4 linked regions of the Drosophila melanogaster genome follow. The protein of the gene in region 1 interacts with the protein of each later gene in a pairwise test. Each region holds a gene or a part of one and is shown in the gene's direction. Other genes may lie near its edges. The genes, in order: Pp1alpha-96A, corolla, Nop17l and uri.

Region 1 (6,322 bases):
ACTCCTGTGGAAGTACCATTACAATTTATATCCTTTCAGGACATTAACAAGAGGCTGGAGGGCCTGAGCCACGCACTCGAGCAGAGTAAACAGGCATCCGCCAGCACGCCTCCGCTGGAAGATCGGGTGGCCACGCCGTGTCTGGAGGATCTGGAGCGCATACTCACTGAGAAGGTGGCAGAGATTGGAAAGGTCAGCGCACACAGGCTGGAAGAGGTGGTCTATCACCTTGAGGAGGGCTACAAGGAGAAGCTAGGGGCACTGGAGCGAGAGCTCAAGCAGCTGAGTGTTCAAAAGGTGCAGCCAGAGCCTGTGCAGACTGTGCCAGTTGCCTCGAAAATACCCAAGCCGGTGGTTCGCAAGGAGGAAACCAACATTGATCGGATTCGCAAGCAGGTGGAGAGCGAGTTCCTCAAACAGAAACATGACGATGACACCTATTCCATTGAGGAGGCGCCACGAAAAGGTTCGGAGAAACCATTCCCACAGCTGGTGACCCAAGTTCAAGTGGTGGAAAAGGAGCAGCCAAGTGCTGGAAGTTCGGACAGCAATCCGACTTATACGAAATCTCCAAGGGAACCTGCTCCTAATAAGCAGGAAACGAAAGAAGCCACGGACGTAAGCGATAGTCTCAGCCAAGAAGAGACGGAGAACGAAGAGGAGCGCAGCCTGACAGAGGAGGAGGGGACCGATGTTCCCACCTCCGGGTCGGAAGCAGCACGAGAGGATCCAACGCCAAAAACAATCAAGCCTTCTGGAAGAATCATCAAGTGAGTGTTTCGATGTTAAGCTTTCTTAGAGTAATAATAATCCACATGTTTTAAGGAGCCCTCAAAAACCACTTACTCGCAAGGATGCCCGGAAGATGGTCAACCGGAAGTTGATGTCTCACGGCTTCGATATGAAGTCCAAAGGTATTTCGCATAACTCTTTGAAGAGAGTGAACTCCGAGCTGACAGAGCACCGCAACAAACTGAAACTGGTAAGCCTATAACTGCCAAAAACTAATGAACTTTTGACAATTCTGGAATACCCTTTAGCAACATCCACATTTTTACGCCACTCGAAATCGCATCCGCAAGTTTGTCGAAAAACTGTGCTCCGCCAAGTTCTCGGAACGCGCGGAAATGTTGCTGAAGCACAAGAGTCCACTCAAGCCAATGGAGGTTCCAGGCAAAGGGATCCCGAGGTCTGCGATCTCTGAAAAGTCTGAAGAGGATATAGCCAGCTCTCAAGGCGAAGAGCAGACGGATGAGCAAACGGATAGCAGCGAACAGCAAACTCGAAGCCCCAGTCCTCAAAGACTAGTTAGTCGCGATTTCAAGGCTCGTCTGGAGGAGATCCTGGTCAAGCCGGCGGCCACTATTCGAGGAGCTTCCAAGTCGTCCCTGAGTTCGAGGCCAGTTCCGCTGCCCAGGAAGCGGGTGATGTTCAACACCACGGAGGACGGGAAGAGCTTCAATGACAGCGATGATAACCTAAAATGAGTCAATAAAGATGATATTATAATACTTTGGGTATAAATGTCAACGATACGTTTAATAGCCAATATATCATAAGATAATTATATTCCTTTATGAGTACCTATCACCTGTTCAATGTACCGTACTTAACTAAAAAATATTGTTTTTTAAATGAATTTGCATATTCCGGTCACACTACCTTTTACCGATAGCTGCGCGCCGTGCAATGGATAGGCAATCGATAGGCAATCGACTCGCGCTGTAAACAATCGACGTCACTAACCAACGTAGATGAAAATTTTTTAGTACGTCGCGAGTAAAACGTGCATTAAATGCAATAAAAGGGCAGCTGGCTAAGGATCGGAACGATTGAAGTCAGCCAACCTCAGAGGGGTGAGCAACCGAGGCAGTGAATCCGCGAATCCGTGCATCCAGCTGACCAAAGGGCGAGATTAGCCCAGCACCGAGTTTCCATCCGCACACGGACACGGCGCACACACACACAGGCACACGCAGCCCGTGCCCATCGATGAAATAACATACATAACGAACGTATACCGAAAATACACGGGTTACGGGAAATAGCAGTTGCTGCAATCGGCGGATAAGCGAACTTCAGGAAGCTGAGCAAGCGGGCCCACAAAGATGTCGGATATCATGAACATCGACAGTATCATCTCGCGCCTGCTGGAGGGTAGGTGTTAGGGCTCCAACTTTTGATTACCTTGCCCCCACCCATCATCACCCATTCCCCACATGCCTTGCCACCCAACCACCGCCCACTCTCATCACCTTAACGTAAATTTTCCCTGCTTGGTTTTCCATTGCAGTGCGCGGTGCACGACCGGGAAAGAATGTTCAGCTATCAGAGAGCGAGATCCGCAGCCTGTGCCTCAAGTCCCGCGAGATATTCCTGTCGCAGCCCATACTCCTGGAGCTGGAGGCACCGCTGAAGATCTGCGGCGACATACACGGACAATATTATGACCTCTTGCGCCTGTTCGAATACGGCGGCTTTCCGCCCGAGTCAAACTACCTGTTCCTGGGCGACTATGTCGATCGCGGCAAGCAATCCCTGGAGACGATATGCCTGCTGCTGGCCTACAAGATCAAGTACGCGGAGAACTTCTTCTTGCTGCGCGGCAACCATGAGTGCGCCAGCATCAATCGCATCTACGGGTAAGTGGGGAGGCGGCTCCAAAAACAGGATGAAGCTTGATGAAATGGTTAGCAATCTGTTCAGTTCAGCACCGAAACAATTTGCTTTCCTGCTTAGATTACTGAAACTCATTTGATTACAATTTATATTATTCTTACGACTCGTATTTACTTCTGATGACTATGTACTTTTATACATGCTATAGAACTTATAGTTGTTTATTGTTTACGTGAGCTTTAAAAATTTCCCAGACATATTGATGTCTACTTATGCTTCCAAGCTTATTAATACTTTCTAGTTTATTGACGCACACAACGATATCCATTACAATTAAATTAGCCATACTTCAAATACATAAAGTAAATGCCACATTCTATAGCAATAATCCATAAAATTACTCAACTAATTGCACTTAATTGGCAGGTTCTATGACGAATGTAAACGTCGCTACACCATCAAGCTGTGGAAAACTTTCACGGACTGCTTCAACTGCCTGCCGGTGGCCGCCATCGTGGATGAGAAGATCTTCTGCTGCCACGGTGGCCTGAGTCCAGATCTGTCGTCCATGGAGCAGATACGACGCATCATGCGTCCCACAGACGTGCCCGATCAGGGACTGCTGTGCGATCTGCTGTGGTCGGATCCGGATAAGGATACCATGGGCTGGGGCGAGAATGATCGCGGCGTGAGCTTCACATTTGGAGCAGAGGTGGGTTCTTCGCATTACACTGTTCGCCACAATGTTGTTTATGCATTCGCTCTTGCAGGTTGTGGGTAAATTTTTACAGAAGCACGAATTTGACCTGATCTGTCGGGCTCATCAGGTAGTGGAGGACGGTTATGAGTTCTTCGCCAAACGTCAGCTGGTGACGCTCTTCTCGGCGCCCAACTACTGCGGGGAATTCGACAACGCGGGTAAGTGATCATTGTTCGGGGACTTTAGTCGGAGATAAACCTTGTTTATTTGGAGAACAACCACGTTGCACCCTTGTACTCGGTGATTTTGCCTGCCGATAAGCTGTCGGCAAGTGAAAGCTGGCAACCAGATTTAAATTCAACTCGGAAAATGCGCATTTAAAAATAATCAATAATCAATACCGAGAATGAAACTACCTATGCACGACACCCGCTTCTAATGAATTGATTAATCATTATTGATTACGTTTACAGGTGCCATGATGTCCGTGGACGACACATTGATGTGCTCCTTCCAGATATTGAAACCCGCCGACAAGCGACGATTTGTTTATCCCAACTTTGGCAGCTCAGGACGTCCTTTGACACCGCCACGCGGAGCTAACAATAAAAACAAGAAAAAATAAACACTGCACACCTCGAACGAAGCACAACAACAACAGCAACTACAAACGGCCACACACACAAAACACAAATAGGGAAAACAGAAAGGAGAATCCGTGTGTCCACATTCAACGGAAAGCGCAGAGAGTTTGTTTTTATCATAAACGTGTAATCGAATCGTGAGCAACGTTATATGGGGAATATGAATCTACACAAATTAGCCTATCTTTCATTTGAAAAGGAAAAAAAAACAAAAACAAATAAGGAAAACGAAACGAATGAAATGAAATTAAGAAACCAGAAAACACAAATCGAGACACTTTAGTTCAAACTAATGGTAGTGTAAGACACTGCATAAGCAAGAATATTTTATCTCCTAATGTATTAATTTTGTTATAATATTTCCTTGCGCAAAACCCACACACTCACACACACACACACACATACACATGCTCAGATCATCCGTACAGTAGGTACCATAAGTGCACGCACCGGTTGTATTTTAATTTGCATTTCCAACTCGCACAGCATTTTAATTATGTATGCCGATCCTGGCGGCACCTTTGGCAAAGGTCTTTAACCACACTTCCCTTCTTCCTTGTTTTTTTTTTTTGCGTATCTAAGGGAATATTAGCAAATGGTAACAATGTTAAATTTTATGTTAATTAAACTGTACGAGAATGCTTTTAAATGTGAGTTGAGGTTACTACATATTACATATGTATGTACTCGAAGCACGATTTATTTTTGTAATATTTGACATCGATACATGTTTACTTAGTTTTAAAACGAGGAAAGCAATTTTAGTTGCAAGCTACAAAAGCTTGAATTGTTTACACCAAAAATATTAAAATAAACAAATATTGTGAATATTTTTTAACTGTTTGCATTACACAAACACACACATACAGGCAAGCACGCACACACGATTTTAAGGAGAACCCTGAAAAGTATGTTTATATAGACAAAAATAAACCCGAATTGAAAATCTACCTTAAGGCGAACGCTTTTGAGCGGCACTGTGTGCTCTCTGCTGATGTCAGCGACGAGGCAGATAATGTTACCCCCTTTTAATCCCCCGCCCAGACGAAAGGAAAGCAGCGGCCCCAGACCCATTAAGTGCATGTGAAACTCACACGAAATATAGAAAAAAAAATCGAAACAAAAATAAGCAAGTAATAAAATATTTGTAAACAGCAGCGCAACAAACACAGACACAAACACTGTTTATCGTACAAGTGTACACTTTTGTGTATTTTGCATTCTACGACTAACGTCGCAACATTCTAGTGCTAAAGGCCGCCACATTCAATTACAAGTATTATGCCCAGGCAGGCAGGCAGCGATCCGGAGCGATGCAGCCGGACGCAAGTTACCCAAAATGGTTTCGTTTGTATAATCCAATCCAATCCAATCCCCGCCCGACAACCAAGCAACCTACTAACAACAATCGTGTAACCTACGGACAAAAAAAAAAAAACAAAACCAAAAGCAAAGCATGAGTCCTCTTCTATTTCACACTCTAGTACTCTGTTCAATGTTGTAATGAATTCAACGTATATTTACGACTATATATGTACTTGTAATAATGCGATCCAGTACGACATCGGCTGTTTTCAACCCCCAAAAAACACAAGTCATAAGAAATCTATAACGTAATATCGTAAAATTAAAGTGTAATTGACCCCAAGAAGGAAATTAGAAAAGACAGATGGGGTAAATTTATAATGCATTCAAAGCGTAAATTGCAAAAAAAATAAAATACAATAAAAAAATAACAAACAAAAAAATCATTTAAAAAAGAGCTAAAAAATGAAACAAAAAAATACAAATTAAACAAAATGAACACAATGACGAAGCACTTGTAACAAAATAGCACTGTTTTATTAAAAAAAAAATTGAAATACATACTAGCAATAAATATGAAATTCGAGATGTGTTTTTACTTGAGTGAAATGCATGTTAGTTTCTTGTTTAAAAAAGCAAATCTATTATTTATTGTCTATATAGTTGGTGTTACAATCTAAAGCATTTCGAGGACTTTAAAATCTTATTTATAACTTTACTTTATGTTGCTTAATATATTGCACTAAATTTACTTTGTATAGCACTTTGTGTTTAGTTATATCGCAGTGAGCAACTCTTTCCCAAAGGAGCACATGTGCCACCCGTGCCCCTGCCATGTCGCTCATCCTCCTGGAGCCTCAGCTGGAGCAACTTCTGCCTTAAGGCATAAGGTGTGGTGGTGGTGCTGCTGCTGCTGCTCCTCGTCACTTCCTGTTGCCTGCTCTCATTGGCGCGATCTTTGTTCCACTTGTCCGAGTTGTTGAAAATGATTTTATCATATGCCCGCTGCAGGCGCAGCTTATCCTGGCGGACATCACTGAAGCATTCGCTTGTG
Region 2 (4,763 bases), on another chromosome or scaffold:
ACAGTGCGTACATACATGTAGTATTATATCTGGTTAATTGCACTCAACCAGCGTAGAATGTAAGGCATCATTTCTGTAGCTTTAGTTTTATCCTTTGAGTAATTGATGTTTGTATTGGTCAATTGCCACAGCTGAAAATAGCCTCTCAACTACTCTTCCAATCATCTTAATTCATAATATTCGTTCTTACGTACGTACGCCATTGTACATACAATTATAATGAGCGAACATTATAATTAGTAATGGAACATGCGTACGTATGCAATAGTAAACATCCATTATAATTAGCAATGGGAACCTGCCGTTTCCACTACAAAATAAAATCATTTATTGGTCAAGATATGAAAAACGCACATTTGGCTTGCATTGGGGTTCTGGCGATCTTCCACATCTAATTGAATGTACTAGTATTCTCGAGTTCGTTGGGAGTTATTATTTTATGTGTAACCTTTCAAAATGGAAACTTTCCAATGGAAAGTGAGCATATTTTTAAAAAAAAATCCAAAAATCCTTTATCAATGACCTCTATAAGTTGCTTAACATTTATTTAACTTTCGTTCGACAATCAGTGATAGGTTCTGCTCCTTGCTCATCCTCTACAGACCGGCCTGCAGACCAAAGCCAGGACCCTTGGGCTCCTCGCTCAGGGAAGTGGGCTCGCCCTTTGGCTCGCTGGCAAAGCGTCCGTTGCGTGGCCCAGGGGGCGATATCTTATCCGCCTTCAGGTCGTTCAGGATGTCCTGCATGTCCTTGGATGTCAGATCCTCCTGCAAAGTAAAAAAAAAACGTTAGCAATGTTTGCACAATATAGAGTCGATTTCAGCGCATTAAGATTGAAACGCTGGACGAGGCTGAGAGTGAAACTGGCGTTTCCTACAAACAAATGACCAGGAAACACATTTAGCAATTAGAATTGCTTACATAGTAGTCATCGTTGATCGCCACCATTGGCGCATTGACACAGGCGCCCAAGCACTCGACCTCCGAGATGGTGAACTTCCTGTCCTTGGTGGTGTCGCCGACGCCGATGCCCAGCTGCTTCTTGCAGGTCTCCAGGATGTCGTCCGATCCGCGGAGCCAGCATGGTGTGGTGGTGCACACCTGGATGTGATACTTGCCAGTGGGCTTGCGCATGAACATCGTATAGAAAGTGGCCACCTCGTAGACGCGCATATTGGGCAACTGGAGAATCTCGGCCACCTTGTGCATGGCAGAGATTGGCAGCCAGCCGTACTGGCGCTGTGCCAGATCAAGCAGCGGGATCATGGCGCCGCGCTTGTGCCCCTCCGGATAGATGCTGAGTATGGCCTCCACGCGCTTCTTGTTCTCCGCCGTGAACTCGAACGGGATGTTGGGATTATCCTCCGGTGTGTCGCGATGGACGAACAGATTGTCGCTGGCCCGGGCACTGCTGGTGGCAATTGCCCGGATGTTGGCGCGCTGCAAATAACAACACATATCCTTAATGTTATTGTTTTCCTGTCGCCAATTATATAACTCGGGGAACAGGTTGCCTTCCCTGGTTGACACCGCGAATTACTGGACAGTTTGGATGGCTGCGCTACTCACCACGGCGGCCAGTGTTTTGGAGGCACAGTTTGTCAGCATTCTGGCGTTTCCAAAATAATGAAAAGGCTGAAAATTTGCTCTTATGTTATGTGAAGTCCGTCGGCTGCTGTCAGTTTTTTTTTAACAAGCACCGCTTACAGCTGATTTTCGGCGGAGCGTTTGCCAACACTGGCACTTGTCGTCAGAGATGAGCAAATCTCTACAAATCTTGTACAACATTAATAAAAAAAAGCTTAAACAAATAAAACTTGTAATTAAATTAATATTCAGCGGTACGTTACATTTTTTTATTCCTTTTTAAAATAAGTTTTCTAAAACAGTAAGCGATATATATCGCTGTGACTTCAGTATCTATGACACTTTTCAACAATGATCGCTGTGCCTTAGCATTCGATATCCGATAAATTACTGAACGCGCAAACTTGTAAGCTTATCGGGGGGAAACATTGAACGGACAAAATATGGAAAAATATCCACTTGTCAAAGAATTTATGGGGCAAAATTGGCCAAAAGATACCAAAATGGCGCAGCTCGAGAAGGAACTCAAGAAAAGGAAAGAATTGATCGTCGAGGAGCAGAGTGAGTGGGCATAATGCGCGAATCTCCAAGTAAGATTTATACATACATGTTTCTGCTTGTTCAGTTGTAGGGCCGCGTTTGGAGCAGGTGCTATTCGACCTGACCTTGGTCAAGCAGTGCGCCTTGGTAGTGGAGGATAACGGTGCCGGTATGGCACAGGCCAACACCATGATACAGGACTGTATGTTCCAGATCACGCGAATTGAGGAGCTGCTCGAAATGGCCGGGCTGCAGGACATCCTCTACTACACGGTGCATCGCAAGGAGCAGGAGTTCCAGCGCAAAATTAAGCTGCAGGAGGATTTGGCCGAGCAAGAGAATCAGCAGAACACAATCCTCGAATCGCGCAGCATCGGTAAGATTTTGTATGAGGTATTATTGAATACGGAATCCATTTGAATGCTATATAATCATAAACAATAAAAAACATTTTGTTTAATATTTTTTACCCTATGTGATAGTATAAGTTCATTTGTGTTATTTAAATGATTCTCAAGTAGCTTCTATTTCAGTCCAGGAATTCCGAAAAGAGCAAGCCTTAAAAAAAGAGGCAGATAAGGAGCTAGCCTCAGTGGACGACCAACTGGACCAGTCGGATCGCGAGTGGACAATTACGCTGAGAAGTATGACGGATAAGCTTAATAAGAAGATAGTCAGCGTTTTACAGATGGGAAAGCTGATAAACGAATTGAAGGAAGAGGTGAGTAGCTGCGAAATATCCATTCCAAGTGAATAACTTTTCCGTTTTTCAGTTGCAAAAAAGGAATTTGATTAAAACGGGTGTCACTAAGGGCGCTGAACCAAGTTTGGCTGGTGTTCCATCCGCTAGCACCATTTCACCATTTCAGTCCGCTTCGGATTTCCTCAACAACTTCATCTTTAAGAATATCAGACCAGATGACAATAAATCCATGACGAGCGTGAATAGAGAGATCACTACTAAGAAGCTGGAGACTCCTCTGCGATCCATTTTGATCAAATGCAAGGAGGTCGAGTCTGTTGCCATTTCCAACTCGCCAACAAAGCAAGTGCGTTTTTCTCCCTATCCAGAGATAAGCCATATCGAAGAGGAGAAATTTGAGAAGACCGATTGGCTTTCTCCTTCAGAAGAGGCAGGTGTCCCAAATGCGGAATTAGAAGAGGACAGTGACGAAATGGAGGCCACAGACGAAGATTTTGAGGAAATATCAGAAGAAGAATTCGAAATGGCGCTGAAAGATGAAGGATTTGAGCAGGAGGTAAAAGTAGAAAAGTCAGAAGAGGTTTTGCATCTAGAACAGGATAGATATGATGAGAAATCTGGCTCAGAAGTCGAGGAATCCGTATCGGATGACAAGGAATCCGGAGGGGAGGCTTCAGGAGAGGAGGAGCCGGCTGATGCGGCCAAACAAGTAAAAATCGGCGAAAACCCGAAGACTGATGAGCAGCTATCCAATGAAATTTCCGATAAACCACAAATAATTAGAGTCGACACTCTCTCTCCCTTCAAAAACATATCTTCCTGGGCCAGCGACGATATACCCAGCACCTCCAAGGGCACTCTTAATCGTTTTACTGCAACCCAGTTTATGAACTATGGTAGCAATCGCGATGAAAACGAGGCGCCGCCTTGCAAGCGACTAAAATTGGAGGAGGAGGAGTTCCCAATGAGCCAACCAATGCCGGATTACTTTAAGCATCCGTCGTCCACATTCAACAACTTTGATGATCAATCACTTCGATTCAGCTCGCCCCACAACAATTTTGACGATGATTACCTGCTGAACTTCAGCGATGATAATGATGTTACACCTACTGCCGCCTCGGCGTACATACTTTAAATTGTTAACGTATTTTGGTCAAAAATTAATGTATGTTCTTTATAAGAACGGACAATTAATTAATATCCAGATACTTATTCATTCATTGCCATTTGCAATCAAAAAAAATTTCACTTCAGCTAAATTATTTGTAGCTTTATAATGAAATTAATTTGCGTACATAATATGCATATGTACATTTAAATCATACGTATTCAGTTCGAAAGTGCCGTTTCAGACTTATTCTTCATTTTGTCGTTGCTTATAAACTAATAAAACAATAAATTAAGACAAATTCGTGACTTTAAATATTTAATTTTACTGCAAACAGTAAATTTTACCACTTGCAATAAAATACTTTTCTCATTACAGCATATAAATCTTTATTAAAAATGTATATTATAAAATAGGGGAATATGAAGACTACTTAATACAATACATAGTGTAAAATACATTTATATATTTAATCTAATATATATTTAACTTTAATATTTCATTTGTAATTCTGGGCGCCAATGGTTTGAGTCCAAGCTTTAATCGATTTGGTATATTTATGGTTTGTTTTGGTATTTGTCAGCATGCATCGCGCTTAGTATTTTAACCCATGCTGTCGATACCACGAGTTTGTTTTACAAAAATTGAACCAAAACCCAAAATAAATGGCTCGGAAACGAAAGATTCCCGTGCGCAAGCACCACGGCGTCCGTGATCCCCTCAAGCAGCTGGAACAGAAGGAGAAGAAGTTTGTTCATAGTGGCAAGTCAGTCGAAAAAGGCAGCTAAACTAATATCTGCACCATTTCACATTTCAGACTTT
Region 3 (7,667 bases), on another chromosome or scaffold:
GCAGAGCGATGACCAGAAAAGGACCCAGAACGGCGACGAGCATCTTGCTTATGCTACTGGTATCCGCGGTTATCACCGTCACATCATTGCTGTCGAAGGGCAGCAGTTCCGGAAAGTCTCCCTCATTGCAGTAATCACCGGCACAGCAGACCACATTCACGAACTTCCCCGTATTGCGTTTACTGGGCCCGTTGATCTTCAAGGAGTTCTGGCTGCAGATCATGGGCAGTTGATCCGGCGAGGTGCTGCAGCCGCGTGACTCCTGCACCTGACCATCGGCATCGCGTGTGCGCGACTTCCAGCACTGTTGAAGTTCGGAAATTAAGTTACATTTAAGTTTTAATCAAGTTTAAGGTGGAGTATTCACCTGAATCGCATTCTGGCAGGTGTGGGTAAACTCATAGGGATCCCGACAGGGCGGCTCGCAGGAGTAGCATTTGTATCTGATAAAAAAAAGAGAGAGTTTAATAAGATTGAAGAAGAATCGGTTACGCAAACGGGCAGCTTTTAATTGTTAACATTTGGGTATAAAAGTATAATATACTATAAAATATTTAAAAAAAATGGGGTTTTTTAAGTAAAATTATGAATATTTTCAAAATTTTAACTAAAAGTTAACCAGTTTATGATGTTTTAGTTCATGAGTCGTGTAGGTTTTACCTTCTCTTCATGCGGCGCTTACTCTTAATGTGTCTCCTAATTAAGGATTAGCAGCATGGCAATTAGGAGGGAAATGAGATTAGCAATACAAAGCCTTTGGGCGGAAGCGGGAGCTACAAGCTATGGGCTCAAGACTTAAGATATAATCACCTGGGATGCGTCTGCACCGAGTTCTGTGGCACGGCCGGTAGCTCCTTGCCATTGAGATGGGCGGATGAGGCGGAGGAGAGCTCCATGTCTAAGTCCGGTATGTCCTCCCGCAGATGATCGCTGATTTCGGCTGAAACATAACAAATGCACATTAAACCATATGCACATAGCATATACATATGTACACACATGGACGGCCCAACCAACACAAACGCCACCAGCACTAACACACACACACACATGCACACAGGCGCCCCAGCAAGTTCTGTATACACACACAGAACGGTGGTGTGCGTGGGTAAATCATTGAGAAAATGCACTTATGCTGCAAACGCCCACGACATCCGTTTATATAATACATTCTGTGGGATCCATCAGGTGCTTCTTTCACCAATCAGCATTCCGAGGGCACTTTTTTCGCCTTGGCCTGGCCAAATACGCAACGCAATTGGCCAGAACCGCAGCATATGAAAACAAACCCAAAACACTCAGTGACTTTTCAAGGCATTATATGTGGCTCTAAAACCCCATAAAATCGAAATTTCTCTTGCGCACTCTCTTCACCAAGCACTTGGTAATTGATTAACACTAATTGATGCCCACCTCTGGCATTATTGTACAGCAGAAACGTCAATAGAAAAACTAAATATATATTGGACTCCATTGCTAGAAATGTTATTTGTCCGAGCCTATCGGAACCTATCGATATACTTCTAGCGGGCAGTGTGACCAGGGCCCACATCTGCACATAACATATTTCACATAAAATACCGGGTCTTCAAATTTCCCAAATCCCCTGCGTAAAAATACCAAAGCACAACACGCACACCAACACGAGCAGCCGGTCAGCGGAAAAGTTTCTAGAACGTCAAACTCGAACTCCCATCAAAGAGTCTTTGGCAAAGGAGCCCATTTAACAGACAATTATTTTATTCAGTGCCGTTGTGTTCACAAAGCATAATTGTGTTCAATTTAGGTAAGTGGAGAAGCAGGAGATCTTCAGTGGAGGAGTTTTCGTGCCATTAAGTTGTTTTCCTGAGTGAAATTAACGGATTTACCTACCCGGTGTCATGGAATATAACAAAACATTTGCTTAGTTAGGGTTTTCATGTCCACTGCGACCGGTTTGTCCAGAAAATCAATGGGTTTCAGCTAGTATCGATCAAACGACAGAGTTTTCCCCCTCCCACAGCGCAAACATGTGTTTTTAGTCACGTAACTGTTATAATTTTCCTCGTTTTCCTTGCAATGGAGAAGATACACACGCCGTAGGGAATCATCTTACTGACCCCCCAATTACCACCCCCGCCCTCCTGCACATATATGTATGTACATAAGTTTGTAATATCAGTTGGCAGACGCAATACAAACATTATCTTTGTATATACATACATATGTGTGTAGAGATGTGGTCGTTTATTGTACAATTAGTTGGGTTGCGCCAGAAATCGCATAATGTGTGTGTGAGCGCAGGGGCTGCGGGGGCAGAATCCCGCTAAACAAAAACAATTGGGGCAAGTGGTTTTTTTCGCGCTTATCAAAAGCCCCTCACTGCGCAGAGGACGCTCTCTCTGTGGGCCGCTCGACTCGCAAAGAGCCTCCAATATTTGCCGGCGTTTCGGGCGTAGCGCTCCCATTCTCATAAAAACGCTCGTCGGGAAAGCATCGCACCAAAACTCGAAAAAAAAAACAGAAAACATTTACGCGTTCTCCTAGAATTTCACAAACTACGCAGTTCGTTTATTTATTTATTGGCCGACAAGTAAAAAAAAAACTCGTGGTCAGTTTGTAGTCATCTACACACATGTGTATCTACTTACATAATGCCCGTAAATCCGGCGGATAGCCGGTGATTTTCGACAGCGACCTTTCTGCGTCATTGATTTAATATTTATTTGCCTATCTGCTGATTAGAATTTGATTAAATGCCAGCTCGGTGTTTTTTTTTGGCTGCGAAATGGTCAGGACCTAGGGCAACCTTGGGACCTGGTACTTACTTGGCTTATCTCAGATTCGATTGGAAAGTTTCCAGAGTTTCGCCAGGTTCCGCAAGATTTAGTCATGCCCTCAAGGTTTATTTGCAAAACTATAAAATAGCCAGGTATACATAGAACTTACATATGTATAGCCGAAACAGAAAAACTAGTAATTTTTCCCAAACGACTTGTCTTGTTGTTATTGCAGTTATACATTCGTAATATAAGATAGCTGATTATCTTACAAGATTGTCCGTACTTACATCTATGTTTATTTGTACTTTCAGAACCTTCCAGAAATAGAAACCCAACGCATTTGCCAAGGAAACGTGGCCCAAAACTGAGCAACCCCTAACAAATAGAAACAAACAAAAAATCAAAACCCGTCGAAGTGATAAGAAAATTTGTATTTGTGTAGTAAAAGTGCCGAGGAGAGAAGAGGAGACCGAAGAGATCCCTCCGTGAGTGAAGTGTGCCTGCGAGAAAGCTATGTCCGCATCTAGATCGCGTAATAAACAATCCAAACTTTGTGACGATGAGCGGCTCGATATAAGCAGGGACGAGTTCAACCGATTCCAGGAGGCCTTTGGCAAGGAGGAGTTCCGCAAGCTCTTCTTCGACTACGTGGATGAGATCCAGGATCCTGAGAACCGCAAGATCTACGAGTCAGAGATCACGCAGCTGGAGAAGGAGCGTGGCGTGGAGGTGAGGTTCATCCACCCGAAGCCGGGATTCGTGATCAAGACCGCTCTAGATGGCGAGCTCAAGTGCTTCATCAACATCGCTAGCTGTGAGGAGATCCAGAGGCCCAAAAATGAGGTGGCCACGGATCCGTCGAGTGGTAGCCGGGGCCTGAGCTGGTCCATTCCGATGGCCCAGACCACGTCGCGCGATGACTTCGATGCGAAAAACAACCACTGCAAGGTGTTCGACGTCGTCTTCCATCCCGACGCCCTTCACCTGGCCATGCGGAACAAACAGTTCCGCCAATGCCTCATCGATACGGCACTGGACGCAATCGAACGCGAGTACAAGGTCTCGCTGGATCGCGCCAACCTCAAGTTCCCCAAGCTGGACTACAAGGGTATTCCCCGTCCCACTGTGATACGCAAGATGGCCGATAATCCCACGGCCGAGGAGCAGGAGCCACATCCCCTGGCGCACATGTTCCCCACAAAGCCACCCGCTCCGGGGAAACAAGAGCCCCGTGTCCTGCCCATGAAAACGAAACCCTCTCCGGTGCCGGAGTTCACGGTGCCCAGGTATACGATCAAGCACAGCCACGACGTGGACTTGTCCGAGTACACGGACGAGCTGGATGCCAAGCTGCACGTGACCGTTCCTCGTTCTCTTGTCGTGGAGATCGAGCTCCCCCTGCTCCGCTCGACAGCCGAGTGCCAGCTGGACGTCACCTCCAAGTCCATATACCTGTTCAGCGAGCGACAGGGCGCCAAGTACCGCCTGAAGCTGGACCTGCCCTTCATCGTGGACGACAAGGCGGGCCGGGCCCGCTTCGACACGGATATGCGTCGTTTGAGCATCACGTTACCTGTGGTCCGGAAGAGCATCCAGGAGCAAGCCCAGATGCACGAAACCTTGCGCCACTTCAGCCGCGAGGACAGCGGCGTGGAGCTGCACTCCAATAGCGAATCGCCGGTGGAGGAGGATCCCGATGGCGAACTCAGCGATTCCAAGGCGGATATTTCCGAGACTTGTAAGTAAACCATTAATAATATCATATTTAAGAGTCTGTAAATATAATTAACAATGAAAACTTGTAAATCTCACGTACAAGGGGTCATCCATTCCATCCATTATTATTAATTATTATAATAGGCAGTTGTATTATGTATGATAATATTATAAGATAATATTGTGTGGATCGAACTATTTTCGATTAAAAGCTTTTAAGTTTGTTTAATTTGTGCGAAGAGAATGGTTGGCTTTTGGATTGGATTGTTCTTTTATTTTGATACTCTTTCAAATAAATATATTAATATATATATATTTGTGTGATCCCTCAGCATCGCCCAGTGTCGCACCTGCCAATAGCCCGTTCCTGAAGAGCTCCGTGCACTACCAGCTGCCCAGCAAGTTCGACTGCAACGTGCTGGACAATGTGATGGCCTTTGTGCTGCACGTGCCCAACGTTCAACCGGACTCCATTGAGCAGTTGAGGGAGCAGCGGAGCCTGCACCTGAAGTTCGCCACCATCGGCAGTGGCTACTATCCCACCCACTACGCTTTCTACGTGGAACTGTCGGCGGAGCATGAGGATTCCTCCATCGAGAGCGCGGAGGCAGAGGCCTGGGACAACAATGTGGTGCTCAAGCTTTGTCTGAATTCGCAGAGCGAGACTCCGGCTAGCTACCTGGCCGGTCTAGATGCCACGGAGCTCAAAGAGTACCCAGTTCATGGGCAGTACCATGTGAAGAGCAAGGGAAAGGTTAACGCAAAGAAGGATAATGCTCCGCTCGATGTCAAATTCGAGCGCAACCAGGAGGGCCATGCCCTGAAGGTTACCATTCGCCCCGGAACAAAGGAGGAGGAGGAAGATAAGGAGAACCAAGACCAAGAGCCCGAAAGCGATCAGCAGCAGCAGCAACAGGTGCAGAACAAGAAGCCCGGCAAGAAGCAACGGAAGAAGAATAAGAAGGAGCGCTCCCTATCCGAATCTGCCTGCGCAGATATGATCCTCCAGGAGCCACTGGCTAAAACTAATGAGCTTCAGCCGAGGGCCACGTTTAAGTTGCCGCCGCAGCGCAAGCAACGCAGCTACTCGGAGTGCAACGATAGCACTGGCCGCTCTCATCGCGGCATTCTCAAGCGTTTCAGCCGCTACGGGCCCCGACCCTCGATGTCGGACAGCTGGTCGTCCATTGACGACTCCTCCTCGTACTCGTGCTCCGTGGATGCATCCGGAACATCGCTGTTCTCTCAATCATTCGGCGGCATTCCCGAGGAGGACCGTTCGGATGCCGGGCTCTCGGAGAGCTGCAAGAAGACTGTTAGATTTAACGATCACATTATGAAGCAAGTGTTCCGGTAAGTACCAGCTAGAACCCCTGATAATACTCGGTAATTTGACAATTTACTCAATCGCACAGACTCGACTCCAGCATCCTGGGTCAGCGCAAGAAGAACCAGAAGCGACGCGATCTCAAGCTGCGGGCTCAGCAGCGTCGCCTCAGCGAGGGCGATTCTGTCGACTACGAGGAAACCCGGGGCTCTGCCCTCAAGGTGAGATCAAGATCTAGTTAATTGAGCGAATATCCCGTCCAGTTAGCGGGCAGTTAGGCTGTTAGCTTGCTAATTGAATTATGGCCCATCAGCGAAATCGGGCAGTTTGGCTTTATTTTCGTCACACCAGACATAAATATTGATCAAACCTTTGTTTAGGGAATTCTAGTACCCGTGTGCGAAATCTAAACAAATCCGAAATGAGCTTTATTTATAGCAGGAATATATGCAGCTGCAGCAAACTCCAGGGAATGGAAAGTTTTTGCACTTGTAGACAGTAAATAATCGCAGAAATGTTAACATCAGCGTGTTAGCTTGTGATAATACATCTCAATATTTCAAATTTGTGTGAAAATTGAGCGAAAAATTATTAGTTGGTAGTCTGACATTAATGCAAATGTTTATTCTAATTTACAGCAAGAAGAAAATCCGTCAAGGAACTGCAACGATAGCGGATTGGATCTCACTGGAGCAGCAGGTGCCCACAGCAACAACAATGAATCGGATGCTAAGAACACCATGATGTTTGAAATGGATGATTAGGATGTTATTTAAACCATAAATATATTCATATTTTTTGAGTGATTTAGTGGCATGTTTTCAAGGTTTTTAAATGCTACTACATAAATGTTAACTAACGCAACGTTTTTTTTTTTTTAATATTTATACTGTAATTCCTTTTATATCGAGGCGAATTGCTCAATTGGAAATACACAAAATTGTATTTAGGCAACACGAATCAGGGCTAAATCAGAAATCAAAATGTTCATTACATCAAATACTAAGTGTTATGTAATTCGGTTAAACATTGAAATTGTTAAAACGCAAGATGAAATCCTACGCTGAACTGAAAAAGAAACCTATTATTATAGATCGATAATTTCATATTCATTCTCATTGAAGAACACACAACAATGATGTCTTACAAGTTAGCAAACTACAAGTTTTAAGTAAACATTAAAACGCTTGTTTATTGGCTCCATGCTCAGCTCATATAACAATCATAACACGATAAACCTAAACAATATCAATAGTTAACAATTCCTCTAGTATTACACACAACAAAATCACCCAATGCATAAGTAGAGTATAAGCTACGTACATGTTTAGAAGCACTGGCTGAATCAATGCATGTAATTTTAACTTTTATAAGCGAGCTGCAAGTTAAAATACATATACATCTCTTATGAATGAGAAATCCAACCTGCATACGAGTATTGATTGGCATTAGAAGTGGTGTTCAAGGAGTTTGTTCCAGTGCTCGATTTGCTGGAGTTCCCTTCGCTTTCCCTCCAAGACATACAGCACTGGGCAGTCGAGGGAATCACACTGTAGGCTACCCAGGCGTCCGCAACAAGCCTGGCATATCTGCCGAGTTAGTTGGTAGCCCCTCTCCAGACGCGCTGTCTTATCTGAGAGCACAACTACGCACGTGGTGGCGTTTTTCAGGCAGTCTGGGCAAATGCCCGCCTTGGTTTGGCGGCCACAGTCGATCACGCAGCTGGTGGTAGAGAAATACTGGGAGATGGTGGACTTGGCACCGCGTGCACCCGCCAATTCGTTGGCGGTTCCAACGGCCGGCGTCATGAGCAACTTCCTCGGCAGACTGGCAAACCAGTCGTGCACATTGGCGCCTATGAG
Region 4 (4,649 bases), on another chromosome or scaffold:
AAAAGAGCAACCAGGAGAATCAGCCTAAGACGGCCAAACCGAAGGAGAGAAATAATAACAACGAACAAAAAACCAATGGGGCTCCGTCTACGCCAATACGTGCTCCTCCCGGCTTAAAACCTGGCGGACCGCTAAAGCCACCACCAGGATTCGTGTCCAACGTGACTGTTAACTCGGTGGCCAAGCTGCCCAACAATCTCACGTTCACCAATTCGCTGGGCGAGTCGTATGACATTGTACCCAGCCCCTATACGTACACCGATCCACCAGATACCGAGGTCAGGAATCAGGTAAGCTAACGTCGTTTGCCAATTAGTTAGAAAACATTAACTTAAAAAGCATTTGTCTTGCGTCCAGAAATTGGTTGATGAGGTTATGTCCCTGCTCAAGACCCCAGAGGCGTTGAACGAATTCCGCTTGCTTTCGTCTAAGTTCCGCGACGGATCCTGTTCTGGCCAAGCCTATTACGAGCACTGCCAGTGCGCCATGTTGAGCTCATTTTACAACCTGTTCCCGGAGCTGCTGGCCATGCTGCCGGACATAAGTAAGCAACAGGTAAGACCCGTTTGCAAAACCACATAATAGTAAATAAAGAGTAACTCCATTATTTGCGCCATTTCCAGGAACTTTACCTAGTGCACAAACAACACCTGAACAGCTTGCCGCCCGCCGAGCGCAAATCCGTGCCCGCGCTTGAAGTTTGCAAGGTGTGCAAACAGATCCTCATCACCGCCGACTTAAAGAGCCACCAGCAGGCGCATGAGCTGACCAAAAACTTCCCCGTACTCGGAAGCTCAGCCTCTAACACGCACCGCAATTGAGGTGGTCGGATTGTAGGACAACAAAAGCTTTATCCCTGTATATTTTCTATGTACATATATACCGTGTCAACCATCTAGGAACCATGTCCCCAGATCATGTTGTGAGTGGAAACCCGAAAAAGAACTAGCCGAACCCATCAGTCCATGTAGCGCGACCCACGAAGCCATCTGTTCAATGTGACTTAGTCCGGACAGAAGCTTATCTTGGATGCGTTTCTAATATTTACGAGTGAGCTTGTGTCTAGCAAATGCCCGCAACCTAATAAAGTTCAAATCAATCACAATTATTAGTCGTAATCACCTGGTATGTTTGCCTAACCTGTCGCCCTATCTAATGTCCACATATGGTGGTCGCAAATTGGTTATCACCAAATGGAAATTGGTTGTAGTTGTTGGGTCGTATGGAGCAGATTTATTATCGGACATATGGAGCTCTTCTGCTCTTATCTACGTGGTTTGCTAGCTGGGGAGCGATGCTTGGTAGTTGAGTTTTCTGATTTGAGGAAAAGTAGAGCTTTTGTCGAATATGAAATTCGAGAAAAGCTCATTCTCCATTTTTCTACATAGAATTATTATGAAGGTAGAAATCTATAAAGGCGCGCAGACTCGCGTTAGTACATTTTTAAATAAATCAAATTTAACTAACACTGTTTTGTATTAAGTTTTTATTACGTAACACATAAATGTCTGAATCCATATTAATTACTGGTTATAATGTTACTATAATTATTTATATGAAAATGCATTACTGAAGATTATTTTTTTTGGATAGACCTACGGTCACACTAAAGTCGCAAACAACAATAACAATGGACCGGCGAGAGGATGCTCTGCTACAGGTAATGTTATTAATTACCATATATGAATGGAGAAACTGGGGTAATTACTTTATGGAACCCTGTACGACAGGCCCTCCAAACGAACGCCAGCGAGACAGAGCGCTGGGAAGCCTTCAAGCGCGATAATGAGAGCACCATCCGGAACTTGGACAAGTTCGCAAAGAATCTCAGCGTGGAGGTTATGGTGCCCATTGGACGGAAGGCGCTGATGCCCGGCGAGCTGATCCACACCAACGAGCTTCTGGTGGGTCATTACGAGGGCTACTTCTCCGCCTGCTCCTCCCACAAGGCCAAGGAGATCTGCCAGTACCGCCTGAAGCTGGCCGAGGAGCAGCTGAAGAAGCTGGCCGTGGAGAACGATCTGTGGCAGTAAGTGTATCAGTAAATAGAAGTAGGGAAGAGTAATGTTTACGCTCCTCCAACAGGAAAAAACTCCACACTCCATTTGCGGAGGGGGCGGTTCCCAGTGGCGACCAAGTAGAAATTGTGGAGGATTTCAACGAGGAGTCTCACAACAAGTGGTTGGCGGAGCACAGAAAGCGAATGCGACAGCAAAAGCAGAAGGAGCGCCTCGAACGGGAGGCGGAACCTGTGAAGAAAGATAATGAAGTGCTGCGGAAGCTAGAAGAGCGAGAAATGATGGAGGAACTTGGTCTAGATCCAGATAATATCGACGAGGATCAGCTGCACGATATGCTGAATCAAGAACCTCTGAAATCCACCAACGAAAGTAGTCCTAAATCCTTAACCCAGGAAGAGGAGGATGAGCTGTGGAAGAAGCTGGAAGCCGAGGAGCAGAACGAAGCCGATGAGCTCAGCTCAGAAGCAGAAGAAAGCCTTAAAACAACGGATAACCTAGTGCGCCAGCTCATGTCCGGAGAAACAGAAACTCCATCTTCCAAAAAACGCACTGCAGGAACCAATAGAAACGTGGAAATACAGGATCCCATATCGGAAGATGATGGTGATGATGATGATGAGGGTGACCAGGAGGAAGAGGTGCGAACCATACGGGAGCAGATGTCGCTGCTACCCAACGAAGATCGTGAGCCGTTCCTCAGAGCTCAACTGCATGTACTTAAAGCAAAAATGAGGAAGATACAAAAGGTCAACTTTATAAGCGATGAGCTGATTCACTTGATGAATGTGGTGGTCATGCTAGAGGACGACCTACAGGACTTGGTATTTGAGCAGGAACTGGAGGCCAGCGAGGAAGAGGAGGAGGTTGTCGAAAACAATCATCTTCCAGATGAGCCAAGCAAAGAGCTTTCGACTGTATCTGAATCCAGCACAAATAAACGTCGCATTTCGTTTGCCCTCGACGACGAAAAACTTGAATTCAGAAGGGAGGAGACCGTTGCCGAAATGTTGCCCAATGCGAAAAAGAACTCGAGGGATATCATCAAGCTAAATGCACCTCTTAAACCGGCAGGAGATCCACAACCCGCATCCATTAAAACAAAACGTCAAACAACCCAGGATATCTTGCAAAAAGTAGAACGAAACATTGAGTTTGTCAAGGAAAACCAGAGTGTCCAGGACTTCGATTTACTCAATCGAATTATGGAAGAGTCTACGGGACTCATAAACACTTTACACATAAGTTTCACACATTCCGGTGCCATACCTTCGCCCAGTAGTGATCAAAGCGATGGCATACCTGGAAAGCCCTCTGATTTCTATGTGAGGTATGAGAAGGACCGGGCGCGGCCTAATGATTCGTTTCCTATCTATGTGAACGGCTTTGAAGGCGAGGAGCACGTTAAAGTTCCCATAATGAGCGAAGCTGCACGTGGATCAGCCTATGAAGATCCCAGAAGTCAGGTAAGATCATGTTAGTTCGATCAGATCATAAGCTAACGTCCTGGCCTTGCAGTTCTCCAAGCCCAATTCTTCGGAAATATGTTTCACACATTCCGGCTCCATAACTCCGACCAGTAATGATCAAAGTGATGATATACCTGGAAATCCATTTGATTTCTATGAGAAGTATGAGAAGGACCGAGCGAAGTTCTCCAAGTCCAATTCCTCGGAGGGCGACGCTACTGACCCTGAATCAGCGACCAAATCGATCCTACGAAACAAATCTGCTGTGGACCTGGAGCCGCATAATGTCAACCAGCAGCCCAAGAAGGGCAGGAAGGTCCGGAATCAAAAGAAGAAGGAGCGCACCCTAGACGATGACCTGCGCGACATGAGCGCCTACCAAAAGGTCATGCATGATCTTGTGGAGAAGGAGCCGACTGCACCGGAGCCTCTGCCACCGGGCAAGTTCATCGACTCGCATGCGCCAAAGAAGCGGGTTAGCCGCTTCAAGGAGCAGCGAGCCCTTAACAAAACGTAGCGAAGAGTAAAACTTCAGCTGGATATTACTAGTATATTTGTTCAAGTTTAATGTGAATTTGTATTACAAACACAACGCAAACAATAAACAACTACTGGTGTGGTGTACATTCGTTTTAAAATTAAACACTAGGTACTAGTCCGCTGAAACGGAATTTATTTTTAAAACATTTACATTTACAGTAGGCTTCAATTTACATTAGATCAGAATGAGAGTTTTTGATTCAAGAATGTACGCGATTGAAGGACCTGGCCGCCCGCACGTGTGCGCTATCTTACAGGCTATTCTAAAGTACATATTAACAGCTAATACATACAGTACGAACCCTAAGCATAAGTGTAGTTGGACGCTCTACTCAAGGACACAGCCCATTCCATTGTGTTCAATCATGGTCTACCGAGAATCAAATATGTCTTGAGTGTCTGGCCAGCAGGATGCAGGGATGCCTCCAACGCGGGGTCTCATGGCCCTGTCTGGTGTTCACAGATGCTACAGAATTTCTACATGTCAAAGTCCTCCAGGCCGAGGAACTCCCTTTCTAGAGCGGCGCCCATCATGTTCCATTCGCCGTCGTCCTCGTCCTCCGGTTCCTTCTCGCTGTTGGACTCGGATCCAAGCTCCAGGTCGGAAGGCAGGTCTTCCCCT

Evidence for each region.
Region 2: the proteins of Pp1alpha-96A (region 1) and corolla interact in a two-hybrid assay, tested with the Drosophila melanogaster proteins (2 studies listed by BioGRID).
Region 3: the proteins of Pp1alpha-96A (region 1) and Nop17l interact in binary tests that used the Drosophila melanogaster proteins (3 or more experiments, as listed by UniProt).
Region 4: the proteins of Pp1alpha-96A (region 1) and uri interact in a two-hybrid assay, tested with the Drosophila melanogaster proteins (2 studies listed by BioGRID).

The regions. Positions count from the first base shown.
Region 1 is NT_033777.3:24,516,551-24,522,872, forward strand, and holds Pp1alpha-96A (protein phosphatase 1alpha at 96A), read left to right. Parts: upstream 1-1,719; 5' UTR 1,720-2,108; coding exon 2,109-2,157; intron 2,158-2,293; coding exon 2,294-2,642; intron 2,643-3,045; coding exon 3,046-3,331; exon of another isoform or gene 3,332-3,389; coding exon 3,390-3,537; intron 3,538-3,792; coding exon 3,793-3,944; 3' UTR 3,945-5,781; downstream 5,782-6,322. Other genes in the region: DZIP1, read left to right, coding at 40-770, 826-982, 1,041-1,487; CG13622 (uncharacterized protein), read right to left, coding at 6,040-6,322.
Region 2 is NC_004354.4:17,629,267-17,634,029, reverse strand, and holds corolla (corolla), read left to right. Parts: upstream 1-1,982; 5' UTR 1,983-2,030; coding exon 2,031-2,148; intron 2,149-2,212; coding exon 2,213-2,503; intron 2,504-2,660; coding exon 2,661-2,848; intron 2,849-2,900; coding exon 2,901-3,968; 3' UTR 3,969-4,239; downstream 4,240-4,763. Other genes in the region: ND-24 (NADH dehydrogenase (ubiquinone) 24 kDa subunit), read right to left, coding at 597-767, 922-1,440, 1,570-1,608; CG8326 (uncharacterized protein), read left to right, coding at 4,607-4,689, 4,759-4,763.
Region 3 is NT_033778.4:7,800,345-7,808,011, reverse strand, and holds Nop17l (Nop17 like), read left to right. Parts: upstream 1-1,626; 5' UTR 1,627-1,786; intron 1,787-2,445; exon of another isoform or gene 2,446-2,911; intron 2,912-3,073; 5' UTR 3,074-3,275; coding exon 3,276-4,500; intron 4,501-4,810; coding exon 4,811-5,831; intron 5,832-5,893; coding exon 5,894-6,026; intron 6,027-6,443; coding exon 6,444-6,569; 3' UTR 6,570-7,227; downstream 7,228-7,667. Other genes in the region: sax (saxophone), read right to left, coding at 1-304, 368-443, 661-696, 811-940, 1,414-1,474; PolZ1 (DNA polymerase zeta subunit 1), read right to left, coding at 7,254-7,667. UniProt on the Drosophila melanogaster protein: Required for cytoplasmic pre-assembly of axonemal dyneins, thereby playing a central role in motility in cilia and flagella.
Region 4 is NT_033778.4:24,563,956-24,568,604, forward strand, and holds uri (unconventional prefoldin RPB5 interactor), read left to right. Parts: upstream 1-1,598; 5' UTR 1,599-1,630; coding exon 1,631-1,660; intron 1,661-1,730; coding exon 1,731-2,029; intron 2,030-2,085; coding exon 2,086-3,484; intron 3,485-3,536; coding exon 3,537-4,004; 3' UTR 4,005-4,127; downstream 4,128-4,649. Other genes in the region: CG11414 (uncharacterized protein), read left to right, coding at 1-290, 358-555, 624-821; Fcp1 (TFIIF-interacting CTD phosphatase), read right to left, coding at 4,505-4,647. UniProt on the Drosophila melanogaster protein: Inhibits the activity of serine/threonine-protein phosphatases flw/PP1beta9C and Pp1-87B. Required for germ line cell viability and differentiation, normal transcriptional activity and maintenance of DNA integrity.